Coturnix japonica: one gene and its partners. The main gene of each other region encodes a partner of the protein of the gene in region 3 in a complex. Links are inferred from orthologs where the notes say so. Each region holds a gene or a part of one and is shown on either strand. Other genes may lie near its edges.

Region 1 (4,134 bases), on a different chromosome or scaffold from region 3:
GCCTCATCTGAAGTCTCTGATCACCTACTCATCTATTGTCTCTGAGTAGAAATGCACTGCTGCTGTGTTGGCTTCCGTACCACTTGAGCTGTTGCTTTTCAGAGTATGGATTTACTTAAGGTCCCAGGGGGACAGAGCTGCTTTCCACTCAAACACTGACTATCTAGCCAGACAAAGTCATTAATTTGAGATGTTATTGTTGCTCATGTAAAATGTGTTATTTCTGCAATTTCAACCTTGACTGCAAGTAAAGTGTAGCTCATGATGAATAGGATGTGCAATTGCTGGATCATTTGCTAAGGATTTTCTGGAGAGCAGAATTATGAAGGAATGGTTTGTGTTCTCAGTCAGCACCTTCTCACACAAAAAAATACATTTCACCAAATGTTTGCTTGGTTAAATGTAGTAGTGGAATGAATCCCAAGGAAGATTACCAAGCGGTAAAGAAACATTAAGAAACCTGAAAAAGAGAAAACTCTGCACTGTGTGCTCAGAATGGAAATAAAAGCAGGAACCTGTCTGCTGTCTGCCCAGTATGATGGATGGAAGGTGCTTTGTGCAGCTCACATCCCTGTGTCTCATCTGTACCAAGCTCTGCTTCTCCTTTGGAGCGCAATGACAGAACAAACTGTTTTTGCAAGGTTTTGCAGGATCTGTACAGCATGCTGACTGATGTACTGATGCTGAAGGTCCATCTGTTCTAATACCTTGTTTTCCACTGAATTTGGCTTTTCATGCCTACGCTCTGCAGCAATGCAGAGAAGTGACATTGCCTTCCCTTTCTGGGGAAAAGTGACTTGAGTGTAACAGACCAAGAGGGGAAATGCAGTGGCTCTGGTCTGTACAATGGAGACCAACAGGTGTGAGGCTGGGCTTCTCATCCTTGTTTAGACAAAGATTTTATTATATTATGCTGTGGGGTTAAGGATCTTGTTTTACCTACAAGAGTATTACCTGCCATCCTTAAAAATGAGCTGGGAGCGTGAATCCTGAGAGCGTTCACCTCAAGTCACTCCGGCCTGAAGGCTTACGAGAGGAAGATAAGTAACCAAGAGCTCGGGGGCGTTTTCTGAGCCGTGGGTGAAGCGAAACAGGTGTGCTGAATTCACTAGCAACAGCTTGCTCGCATTGCTTCTGAGTGCTGTGATTCAGCCGCCGGGGCGAACAGCGGACAGGTGGTGCCACGAGATGACCAGGACCTCAGCCTCCCCTCTTCTTTCCTATCCTTACCTCCCACCCCCACGTCACGACGCATACCCGACCCGCAGCACATTCCCACCCAGAAGGGGATGGAGGCTGGGAGCCGCCCCACCGCCCCCGGCCCCTCCTCCTACCGCCCCCGCCCCGCACCCTGCCTCTCCTTCACACTCGCTGCCTGCCTTGCTGCCGTCGGGAGAGTTGGCGATGTGCTGAGAAGGGGCAGCTCCCATCAGGTCTCTCTGCGCTTCGCCCTCCTCCTGCCCTGCCTCCCCCCGCCTTCCTGCAGCGGCGGACCCAGCGGTAGGTGGTGGGGAGTGCATGAGAGGCTCTGCTCGCCCTGGGGCTGGGCAGCCGCAGGGGTGGGTGTGCGGACAGGTGCATTTGTCGCTCAACGTGTTCTCCTTTGGGCACGAAGGAGGAAGGGAACGGGAGGGGAAACCAGCGGGCGCCGCGGCTGCCGTGTGAGGGAGCCGCTGGGTGCTTATGTGCTCACGTAGCCCTGCCCTTCTCCTCGGATAGTCCGTATAGATACAGACACATACATGTGGGAGAGCCCTGCGCGTTCTTTCTTCCTTCCTCCACAGGTGCCCATTCTTTTATTTAGACTGAGCCACGTAGCCATGTACTGCTTTCTTCCCTCGCTCTGCACCCAGGTGCTCCCACACCTGCTCTCGGTGCTGCCTACGGTGTCAGTGGGGCACGGATTCTGCCCTTCTGATTGCCACGGGTTAGTAGCAAGCTCCCCACTGTCTTCCTAGACATCCCTTCCTCCGGCGGAGGGAAAGAACTAGCAGGCAGTGCATCTTCTGGGAGGGGGAGGGGGAGAAAGGGAAGGGGCTGTCGGCGACGGGATTGTGAAAGGGGTGTCTTGCTGGCTTTAATTACTGTCTTTGTGGCCTAATTGTAGCGTAGGGCTGTATAACTGCCACAGAACCTACTTGCTAGCTGTAGTGTGGTGTTATTAGTGTAGCATGTTCTTGCCTTTGCTTTTTTTTTTTTTTCCTCCTTAGTCTTGATGCATGTGCAGGATCCCTTTTGAAAGCTCAAGTGCTGGCAGAGCAATATGGGCTGCATGCAAAATGCTGGGTTGCTGGAAAGCAGTTTTGTGTTTGCTCAAGTCCTTCTGGAACATTAGTGGTTCTTCAAACAACAATGAGCGAACGTTTCTCATTTAGAAGAAGCGTTTGTAAAGTTGTTAGTTTTTAAGTTTTTCCTTTGAATGAGAAGGTGGAGCATCAGCGAATGATGGGATTAGATCTTGTAGTTAATAGACAAGAAACTGTCCTTTGGAGGAGATGGTGGTAGGCAAGGAATGGATTTGTTCCTTTCAGTGAGTGCAACTTCAAATGAGAACTGCGTTATCAGTGACCTTTCTGTACGTTTCTGTGGGAACTCCTGGGCCTTTCAGGGACTACCTTAGCCATACTGCTTAACTTGAACTTGCTCTGTGGTAGCATGTGAGATGTAAAGGTGAGTTGTGTAATGGAGCTCCTTTGTTTTCTAGTTATTTAACTGTTTTTTGTCTATCTGAAATACTGAAAGCGATCCTAGATACAGAGAGGTATGTGTATATTGCTAATACGGATGTAGATGGAAGTTATATAATATGTGAGTATAAATAATGTATTTCAAAAGTATTTTGATGTGCAATCAGTTTTAATAAAATTTTCTGGCAAAAAAAAAAAAAAAAAGCTGAGAACCATTATTTAAAGTGTGTTTGGTATTGTTTTTTTTTTTTTCTAGTGTTGTGTGAAGAAATCCTTCAGCCATGGATGTCTTCATGAAGGGACTTAACAAGGCAAAGGAAGGGGTTGTAGCAGCAGCAGAAAAAACCAAGCAGGGAGTGGCAGAAGCAGCAGGAAAGACGAAAGAGGGAGTCCTCTATGTGGGTAGGTGGGCAGTGAGGTTGTGCTGCTGATTGGTGTACCCTGACAGCCCCGCTCATCTGAAAGAAAGAGCTGAATTCTCTCTCTTCTCTGAAATATGTAATCACTCATAGGAGAGGATTAACTGCAAAGTAAACATGATGAGATTTGAACTCTCCTGAGCATAGGGTCTTTGACGATTGTTGCTTGTTTGTTTGATTGCTGTTTGTTGTGTGTCATGTATTTTTTTTTGGTTCTTGTCACTGTGTGTGCTGGTCATATGGGGCTGCATTTGTAATGTTGTACAGGATAAACTTGCCTGTTGGAAGAGGCCTTACAATGCAAGTTACTGACTGGCCCTATTTAAGATGCTTGCTATATGGGAGGTAAATTCACAGAATCCTGTAGAATGCCTGAGTTTTAAGCAGGATTTTTAAAGAAAAAACTTGAGATGTTGGTTCTGGAACTGAATCTAAGACGTGCCAATGTCTTTTCCTGGAGTAGAAGGAAGATAACTGTACACCCCATAGAAAGGAGCTTGTTTTCTTTCTTCACTAAATAAAGGTCCTCAGCAGTAACATTTTGAATGGTGAGGTGTCAGCTCCTTGTTTTTCAAAGTTAACCTAATGTTCTATACTTACTATTGCATATCCTCAGCAGCTATTTTCCATGGCTACTCAAAGAAGAACCTTTACGGTCACTGAGACAGTGGAGAAAGTGGGAAGCAGATGTTAGTTGACTTACCCAGACTATGCGAGTACTTTGCATGGAACCCGGGGAAAGATTCTTTTCAAATCTCACATTGGACTGTTGACGACACAATCATCGTCTTCACTTAGAAACTACCAGGCCTTAAAGTACTGTCTCATAAATGCCATAGTGAAAAATGAACAGGAAAAAAGCTGCCAAGAACATATGAATAGGTCATTTAAACTGGAGGAATTCCATTTTATTTTTTTTAAGTTAATTTCAGTTGCATGGTAGTAGAATAGGAAGGAAAATACACTCTTTTCTGTAGATTCGTTCTTTTTTTATGATTTGGCAGCAAGTCAATTCTGTAATGGATGCT
Region 2 (4,275 bases), on a different chromosome or scaffold from region 3:
TGCATGGATCAGAATAGTCAGATGTTCCAGAGTGCTCTGAACACACCGTGGTCTCTGGAAGATCAGACCACACAGAGCACAGCAGAGCACTGCAAGTCTCCGACGATGCTCCACCACCAAGTCAGTGAACGACCCCACTTACCTTTGCACAGTGAAGATCCTTGTGTTTTTTGAGCAGTTTATCTGCCTGCTGGATCGCCATTTTATTATTGCCATTATCAAGGTAATCTGCGTAAGAAGAACACACACAGCATTAAAACAGAACACAAAACCATTCTAGAAAGCTACCTCTAATTTCACCGAGGGCTACGCGCTGTTAGGGCAGCAGTGCAAAATGCATTTTTCCTGTGCAATTATTCCTAAACCAAACAGTCAGGAAATGTGTCACTTTGTAGACTAAGCATTCATCTTGCTGTACCAGTTCTTGTCATCCAAACAAACAAGCTTCTGTAATTACTCCACAAAGGTCATCACACCAACAAAAGAGCTGTATGACAGAGCGCTTCTGCAGCAACAGCCCTTCACTAGAAACTGAGATTTCACTCTTTGCTTCAGGAAAAGTAAGAATTAATTGGGTGTGCTGTTGGGACATTTCCAATGACTTTTAATGGGCTGTTGGTCAGAAACAACATGCTTGCAATCTATCAAAGCATTAAGTGAGATGAATTACTTGTTCACTTGCTCTATACTAAGAGGCAGAACAAGACCATCCCCTAACAGAACACCACTGTGCCTTAACCAGAGCAGTTCTAAAGACAAAGAAGAGGAGATATCCTGACGTGCCAACAAGGGAAGGGTCTGCCTGCACCGTTCTGGCCTCTCCCCTAACAAATTACAAGCAGATCTAATGCTGGAATACTGCAATTACATTACACATCCTTTTCTCTTCAAGATCACAGCTCTCATTATGAGATAGAACTCTTAATGAGTCAAGAGGTGACCTTCAGTGATTCCTCGGTACGTTGTACAAAATGTGCATCTATACTAATGAGATTTATACTCTGCAGCTTTAACGTTTGTTTCCATCAGCCAAGTGGTGCAGATTTAAAGTCGAACTAATTGGACTCCTGAGACCACGCAGACAAAACCTCAAACCAGGCAGCCTGCCCCAACCAACCAAAACAAGATGTTGCTGTATCAGATATTCCGACCACCTCAACCTGTAACACGGCGCCTTTACACGAGTTACAGGTAACCTACAGGAACCTGTGCATCACCTTTAACCTTAAAGCTTCAGCACAGACTCATCAGTGAAGGGGTTTCAAATATTCTGCACACAACACCCCAGCGATCTCTCCACATACAGGCAGATGTTTCTTGGTTTAAGGATCCATGTTATAACTTCCACTTGCACACAAATTACCTGCCAGCCTGCACTGCCTGCCTTGGGGCTGTAACAGCAACTCACTGATAGCATCTCTGCTATAGGCCTGCTGAAGTAAATCAAATGAACCACAAGCCTCTCTAAACTGCACAATAAAAAGATTATATTTTGCAACAAGGAATAAGTTTGTTGGAAGCCAAAACATTTGGCAACTCCTAAAGAAATCTCAGCTACAGGAAAAAAAACATTTAGTTCTATGCTGGCTACAGGTCTGCAGGTGGTTATGTTCGATGGATGGAAGTGCAACATGTGAAGCTACAGGTGAAGGCAGAGAAATGAAGTCGAACAATAAAGACATCTGTCAATGAGCCCCAACTAATCAAGGCAGAAGGTGCGAAATGAAAGGCACTTTTTAGAGTAAAAGAGCAAACTTGAACCTCATTCTGCACATCTCCTGCCTGCAGCCTCTATGAAGCTGAGCTTCTACCTGGGTAAGGGGCAGCACCAAATTCTGACCTCATGGAGCAGAAGTAGCAGAAAGCACGTTTAGATCAACATCAGCAACAGCCGTACTCCAAAAGCAACGCAAGGAAACACGTATCACCTGGGTTAACATCTATTCAATCAGTTTCAGACTAGACATTACATAGTTTATAGCAAAAATTACTGGATGCTAATAAACGTGGTAATCACACCACGTTTACCAGGTGCACCCCAAGGCAGCGGCAGCTCCTTTACAGGGAGAGGAACAGAAAGGAAACGTGCCCGTTGTGTGAATTACGATCCATTTCACATTTTCAGAGCAGGAACGACACCGTAGCCCGGGGAATCGCATTTTTCTCTCTCTACTTGCAGACACACAGAAACTTGTTAACAATTTCTTAAGCAATCTCAGCTGCATGCAACATCCCTGGAAACGTTTTGGGGCAGCTCACCCCAGCGCTTTCCCAACACTCCCGCTCCTCTCAACTTGGTTCATAATCCAATTCATTTCCCTAACAAACTAATCAGTCCGTGCCGCTCCGCACGTAACTTTAAAGCATCCGCGACCGCTCGTTTGTTTTCGTTACTCGAACAAACCGACCCGTAACCCCAACTCCCCACGCAGGGACAGGCATGGGACCGAACGGCTCCGCTACGAAATCAAACGGGGAACGGCGACACCCGGCACGGAGCAGGGAGCCCCGGCACCGCGGGGCGGGAGGCCGCAGCGCCGGGCGGAAGGGGCGGCCTGGCGGCACACAGCGGGCCTGCTCGCTGCCCGCCACACAGCGCAGCCCCGTGTGTCCGCTCAGCTCCATGGGGCGGCGGCACGGCGAGACACGCCGGGCCGGGCCCGGCAGGGAAGGAGCCCCGCGCACCGTACCGTAAATGGGCCGCAGGCGCCGGTCGTTGGGGTCCTGCACATGGCCCCGCGCCGCCATGATGAGAGCGCACAACCGCACTGCGCAGCCGCAGGGCCGGGCCGAGCCGGGGGCGGGGGAAAGGGAGCAGCGCTCCGCCCAGCTGCGATGTGACATGGCTGCGGGGAGCCTTAGGGCGGGGATGGGGATAGTGCGGCGATAGTGATGGGTTTGGGGACGTGTTTGTATTCCTATAGCTCACAGATGGGCCAGAATGTGTTAGAGCTGAAGATACTGTGTTGTGTCTGAAGGTACCGTCCGGCTTCGTTTGCTTTATGTTCACCTCGACATCACCAACGTATAACGCTGACGGGTCAAACTGATTTTATTCTGTTCATAGAACGGTTTGAGTTGTTAAGGGCTCTTAAAGGCCTGCAGTGCTCAGGGACACCCACAGCTCCATCAGTGCTCACAGCCCCATCCCCTGACCATGGGTGCCTGCAGGGATGGGGCACCTCCACCTCTCTGTGCACCCTGTGCATCACTGCCCTCAGTGTAAGAAGGAAACACAACCAGACACAACTCGGCTCTCACATCACACCCCGGAGCCGCTGCCCGGTGACGTCTGCGCCGGCCAATCGGTGCCGAGGGGGCGGAGGGGCCGTTTGGCCGGTGAGCGGCACCCACCGCATCCAGTCAGCTGGCGGCGTGCCTCGGGGGCGGGCGCAAGGAGACCGGTAGGAAGCGCGGGGCCGGGCCCGGTACCGGTGGCTGAGTGCGGAGAGCGGGGCCGTTCTGGTGTTAACCCCTGCTGGGGCACTTGTATCGCGGCTGTTTCGTCTCCCTGTGTCGCTGCGGTAAGCAGGGCTTTCTTTGCTGTCTATACGAAGCGTGGCCTGTCCCGGCCCCAATCCACAGCCCGGAGCTGAGAGAAGGAGCCGTTGGCCGCCGCTGAAGCGCGGTGTCCCGGGGCGGATCGCTGAGTGTGAACGGCCGTACCGGGCAGTTCATTGGGGCAGCGCTCCGGGGCGGCTGCTGAGTGTACAGCCAGTGGGGGCGGCTCCGCAGAAGCTCGCAGCGAGCAGAAGCGAAACTGCCCGTGTAAGCATCGCTTTCGGTTCCCGGGAGGAACGCGGCCATGGCTGCAGTCATGGAGGAGCAGACCCAGCTGTGCGGTAACTGGTAAGGACCGGGATCTGGCGGTGGGGTGGGTGATAACATCGCTTTGGGGGGCTACAAAGTGTTAGAAGGCGTAATTCAACAGACAGCGCTCTCTAGAAACGTTTGGGTTTTTCTCTCCCCCCTATCCCCGCCCCCCAAGTATTAATGTGTTATAAAGCAGTTTTCCCAACCATTACTCGAGTTCCTAAGTTACCAGGCAGCCGAGCAGCTACCACGGCACTCCAGTAAATACAAACTCTTGATTTGCAGTGATGTAGACACTGAGGATGTGATTCAAAGCTGTTCTCGACACATGTTTTTAGGCGTTAAGGACATAAAAACAGTCAGTATGTACGTGTTGAGGAGGCAGTTGTGTCTCTTAGATAAGCTGTTTCTCTTTAGAAGTTCCAGCATTGGTCATGTGTTTACTGATAATGGCGTAGCTTT
Region 3 (4,224 bases):
TGCTTCATTTTGGGAGATGTCAGATTTTGAGTATATAAGAAGGCTGTATCTCTTCCTTTCCTTCTTACTGTAGTCACATTTCTGGTTTTGTCTATCAAGTTTTGCTCCTCTACTGGCACTAAGTGGTTATTGTGGGCTTTGGGGCGAGGGTGGGGGAGGGAGGGTAGGGATGTTCTTGTACCTAAACAGCATTTTTCTTTAATGCCTCTGTTACCACCTCATATGATAACTGATTGCTTCCAGTGTTAATAAATGAGCAGGAGGATGAGCAAACTACAGTAGAGACTGTTTGGTTTCCAGTTTACTCGAAGAGCATTATTTAACTGAAAAAGCAATAAGAACTCGCAGTGGTCTTCTGATGTTTCGTGTTAATGTTTTTTATTTACTGGTTTGGAGATTATATTTGATTTGATGTGGGTATTCTGATGGAATATTGCAGGTGTAAACTCTTGCATTTCAGCATTCCTGGCAGATGAGCAATTTGATAATGACCTAAGGTTGTTCAGTTCAGTCAGACCTTTTTAGGTCCCACCTTCGCTGTTCAAACCACTGGTTATCAATGTGTTTTCTAGTGTTGACACTTCTTCTTTATAAATAAATTGAGAATGAGGTATGCATCTCAATTGGTACTGTCCATTTTATTTATACGTGGATGGCTAAGTACATAGGGATGTGGTTTAGTGGCAGTATCAGGTGGTTGGTGGACGGTTGGTTTAGATAGTCTTGAAGGTCTTTTCCAGCATTAAGGTTTCTGTGATGCAGTGAGCTGTGAGAACACGCGTTATCTACCAGAACAGGCGTTTGAAACCTTGGAGAAGTGTCTGTGCTTGTTTGTTACTGATGTTTGCATAAAAACTTACAAACATTTTGACCATTTGGAATTGAAATGCTTCATCTGTTTACACGGAATATCCTGTACGCCCGGTTCTGTGTGTTGTTGCTGTGCTGTGGCCGAGCAGTGCTGGTACGGGCTGTGTCGCTGTGTTGTGCTGCCCTTGGCTTCTGGCTCCGGGCTCCGGAGTGAAGTGACCGGTGCCTGCGCTCAGCAGGTGCTGCCATGGCGGCACAGTGTGTGCGGAGCCGGCAGCGCGCACTGTACGCGGTTACAATGGCGGTGCTTACATTGGCTCTTGTGGCAGCGGCCGTGCCGGTGCGGGACGCGGCTGTGGGCGGGGCTGTGCTGACAGGCCGGCACGGGGCGGCGGCATCCCCGCGGTAATTGTGAGGGGAGGGTGGCAGCGCAGCCCGACGGGCCCGGCCCGCTGCGCCGGTACCGCCCCGACGGACGGAGGCGCCGCTGCCGCCCGCTGCCGCCCGCTGCCGCCCGCTGCCGCCCGCTGCCGCCCGCTGCCGCCCGCTGCCGCCCGCTGCCGCCCGCTGCCGCCCGCGCTCCTTCTGTCCCCGCTCCCAGTCCGCGGCAGCAGGGCACCGCCCCGGAAGGGCTCCTCGCGCCGCCAGCACTTCCGGGGCAGCGCCATCAGCACGGCGGCCGCCATGACGTCGCTCCGCGCTTTCACCTGCGACGACCTGTTCCGCTTCAACAACATGTGAGTGAGCCCCGGCCCCGGTAACACAGCGTGTGTGTGAGCCCCGGTAACACAGCGTGTGTGTGAGCCCNCCCGGTAACACAGCGTGTGTGTGAGCCCCGGTAACACAGCGTGTGTGTGAGCCCCGGTAACACAGCGTGTGAGTGAGCCCCGGTAACACAGCGTGTGTGTGAGCCCCGGTAACACAGCGTGTGAGTGAGCCCCGGTAACACAGCGTGCGAGTGAGCCCCGGTAACACAGTGTGTGAGTGAGCCCCGGTAACACAGAGTGTGTGTGAGCCCCGGTAACACAGCGTGTGAGTGAGCCCCGGTAACACAGCGTGTGTGTGTGTGAGCCCCGGTAACACAGCGCGTGTGTGAGCCCCGTCCCCGCTGGCGCACACACACACACACACACACACACACACACACACACCCCGTTGAGCCCCGTTCCCGGGCGGTCGTTCCGTGCTGCCGCTGATCGCCGCTTTCTCCCCGCAGCAACCTGGACCCGCTGACCGAGACCGTATCCTTCCCGTGCGCCCGGACGGGGGGAGGCGGGGGGGGGCGCCGGCCGTGCCGCTGTCGTGCTCCTTAACGGCGGTTCGCAGTACGGCATCCCCTTCTACCTGCAGTACCTGGCGCACTGGCCCGAGTACTTCATCGTGGCGGAGGCACCGGGCGGGGAGCTCATGGGTTACAGTGAGTGCTGGCGGGGTGGGCCGGGTCGGTGCTGTCGGTATCGGTGCTGTCAGTGTCAGGGTATCGGTGCTGTCGGTATCGGTGCTGTCATTGTCAGGGTATCGGTGCTGTCGGTATCGGTGCTGTCAGTGTCAGGGTATCGGTGCTGTCAGTATCGGTGTATCGGTGCTGCCGGTATCGGTGCTGTCGGTATCGGTGCTGTCGGTATCGGTGCTGTCGGTATCGGTGCTGTCGGTATCGGTGCTGCCGTCGGGCAGTGTTGGCAGCGGAGGCGTCGTGCTGGGCCCGTCCCAGCAGAGCTCCATACCCGGCCAGCAGTGCGCCCTGCCGGGTACGCGTCCATGTGCCGGTGGAGCTGCGCCGTGTGAGCCGCAGTCGCACAGAGCGGCTGAACCGTAACGATGTAGATACACCCGGTTCAGCCGCGGTCGTTGCAGCTGTTTATTATCACCCCGATGTGTGACGGTGCTGATGGAGGCGCTGCCGTGCTGACGCTGTGTGTGTTTCAGTCATGGGTAAAGCAGAAGGATCCGTGGCTCGGGAGGAGTGGCACGGGCACGTCACTGCGCTCTCCGTGGCACCGGAATTCCGGCGGCTGGGCCTGGCTGCCAAACTGATGGAACTGCTGGAGGAGATCTCAGAGAAGTGAATATTACACTCGTTTCACACTGATCTTTTTGACTGTTCTGCCTATAGGTCCCTGCCCTTGCTTTAGGTATATCATAAACATGAAGCACACCCAGAATCCTCCATTAACTAGTGCCCTGATTTCCTTTAGTGACAGGAACAGAATGATGGATGTTCTTTGGTAGCTTAAAATATTTTGATGTCTATGAAAACCAACTTCCCAGCACAAATAGGAAGTAGCAAAGATGCTGTATAAAATGTCCTTCCCTTAGTAGGAAGGGAGCTTCGTAAAACATCACCTGTTTGCTTTTTGAAGTAGCTGGTCCGTAAGTTAATGCAACTGAAATGCACCTGAAGTATAGTGTTAAAAAAAAGTGAATGCTTTACAGAAATAAAGCTTGTGTGGGTGTTTAGTTTCTCCTGTTCTTCCTGTTAGTAATTCTGATGTCACTGTCGGTCATTTGACCATCACCATTACTTCAGATTTGTTCCTTGTTCAAGGAGCACATCTGTTACTGTTGTGAATGATGTCTGCTGAGTGCACTGCCACGTCAGGCTGTTTCTTGGTCTGAATACAGGTTGGCAGTTCTTAATTGGCGGTTTGTTCACCTGCTCGTCCTTACCGTGTTTTATTCTTTTTTTTCAAAGAAAAGGTGGATTTTTCGTTGATCTCTTTGTGAGAGTATCCAATCAGGTTGCAGTAAATATGTATAAGCAACTGGGCTACAGCGTGTACCGGACAGTGTTAGAGTACTACTCTGCTAGCAATGGGGAGCCAGATGAAGATGCTTATGGTAAGTGCTTGTTCTGCCTCAAGTTGAATGGGAAGGTTCTGATGCTGAGCGTTCCAAGAGTTGTTTCTATGCTTTTTTTGTTTGATTTTTAGTGTGAAAAAATGTAGTTGGTTGTTGTTGAATGGAAATTTATTTACTCCTGTAGACAGGTTTGTTTCCTGCTGAGCTTTACATTGTTTTAATCCTGCAGTTCACAGATCTTATAGCATCTGTGGTAAATTAAATTCGAGACAGTTAACAAGTGGAAAGATACCTTATAGGTAAGATTAAATAACATAGTTACTTACCTAATTCTTCTTGTTAAAGTATGTTCCTGCAAAGCGTCCAGGCCTATCCCTAATGTTATTAGGGAAGATAATAGCCCTGCTCTTTTATGGCTCCCTCTCCCCCTTGGTAACAGGGACTTGAAATGTTATTGTCCCAGATGTCCTGACTAAATCATGACAGGAGTTAACAGACAATAGTGACAGAGATTTTTCAATTCAAAGGGTAGAGGACACGATCATTTCAAATATATTGTGGGTACCCCGTTAACTAAACTGAAGCAACTGTCGTTTGCTATTTTTGGATGTTTTT

Evidence for each region. Proteins that work in one complex are often made in the same cells at the same time.
Region 1: the proteins of NAA20 (region 3) and SNCA are in contact, whole or in part, in a cryo-EM structure (PDB 7STX), measured with the Homo sapiens proteins. The link is inferred for Coturnix japonica from reciprocal best matches to the Homo sapiens genes NAA20 and SNCA. Residues at the interface, in NP_057184.1 of Homo sapiens: Leu23, Thr24, Glu25, Tyr27, His73, Val74, Thr75, Ala76, Leu77, Ser78, Leu110, Phe111, Tyr137, Tyr138, Ser139, Ala140; in NP_000336.1 of Homo sapiens: Met1, Asp2, Val3, Phe4.
Region 2: the proteins of NAA20 (region 3) and NAA25 are in contact, whole or in part, in a cryo-EM structure (PDB 7STX), measured with the Homo sapiens proteins. The link is inferred for Coturnix japonica from reciprocal best matches to the Homo sapiens genes NAA20 and NAA25. Residues at the interface, in NP_057184.1 of Homo sapiens: Thr2, Thr3, Leu4, Arg5, Thr8, Cys9, Asp10, Leu12, Phe13, Phe15, Asn16, Asn19, Leu20, Pro22, Leu23, Thr26, Tyr27, Gly28, Ile29, Pro30, Leu33, Gln34, Leu36, Ala37, His38, Pro40, Glu41, Pro49, Glu52, Met54; in NP_079229.2 of Homo sapiens: Ser226, Glu227, Ile228, Asn259, Asp261, Asp262, Trp263, Gln264, Arg318, Arg321, Leu325, Lys362, Pro363, Cys364, Thr367, Asp368, Val371, Leu457, Thr459, Glu460, Leu461, Ser504, Ala506, Leu510, Leu532, Asp533, Lys535, His536, Ile537, Gln538.

What each region holds. Positions count from the first base shown.
Region 1 is NC_029519.1:31,290,065-31,294,198, reverse strand, and holds the start of SNCA (alpha-synuclein), read left to right. Parts: upstream 1-1,332; 5' UTR 1,333-1,500; intron 1,501-1,763; exon of another isoform or gene 1,764-1,784; intron 1,785-2,943; 5' UTR 2,944-2,968; coding exon 2,969-3,089; intron 3,090-4,134. UniProt on the Homo sapiens protein: Neuronal protein that plays several roles in synaptic activity such as regulation of synaptic vesicle trafficking and subsequent neurotransmitter release.
Region 2 is NC_029530.1:5,452,085-5,456,359, forward strand, and holds the start of NAA25 (N-alpha-acetyltransferase 25, NatB auxiliary subunit), read right to left. Parts: upstream 2,803-4,275; 5' UTR 2,749-2,802; coding exon 2,691-2,748; intron 229-2,690; coding exon 143-228; intron 1-142. Other genes in the region: TRAFD1 (TRAF-type zinc finger domain-containing protein 1), read left to right, coding at 3,806-3,849. UniProt on the Homo sapiens protein: Non-catalytic subunit of the NatB complex which catalyzes acetylation of the N-terminal methionine residues of peptides beginning with Met-Asp, Met-Glu, Met-Asn and Met-Gln. May play a role in normal cell-cycle progression.
Region 3 is NW_015439649.1:44,831-49,054, reverse strand, and holds the start of NAA20 (N-alpha-acetyltransferase 20), read left to right. Parts: upstream 1-1,420; 5' UTR 1,421-1,494; coding exon 1,495-1,547; intron 1,548-2,026; coding exon 2,027-2,051; intron 2,052-2,136; coding exon 2,137-2,227; intron 2,228-2,736; coding exon 2,737-2,872; intron 2,873-3,502; coding exon 3,503-3,648; intron 3,649-4,224. UniProt on the Homo sapiens protein: Catalytic subunit of the NatB complex which catalyzes acetylation of the N-terminal methionine residues of peptides beginning with Met-Asp, Met-Glu, Met-Asn and Met-Gln. Proteins with cell cycle functions are overrepresented in the pool of NatB substrates.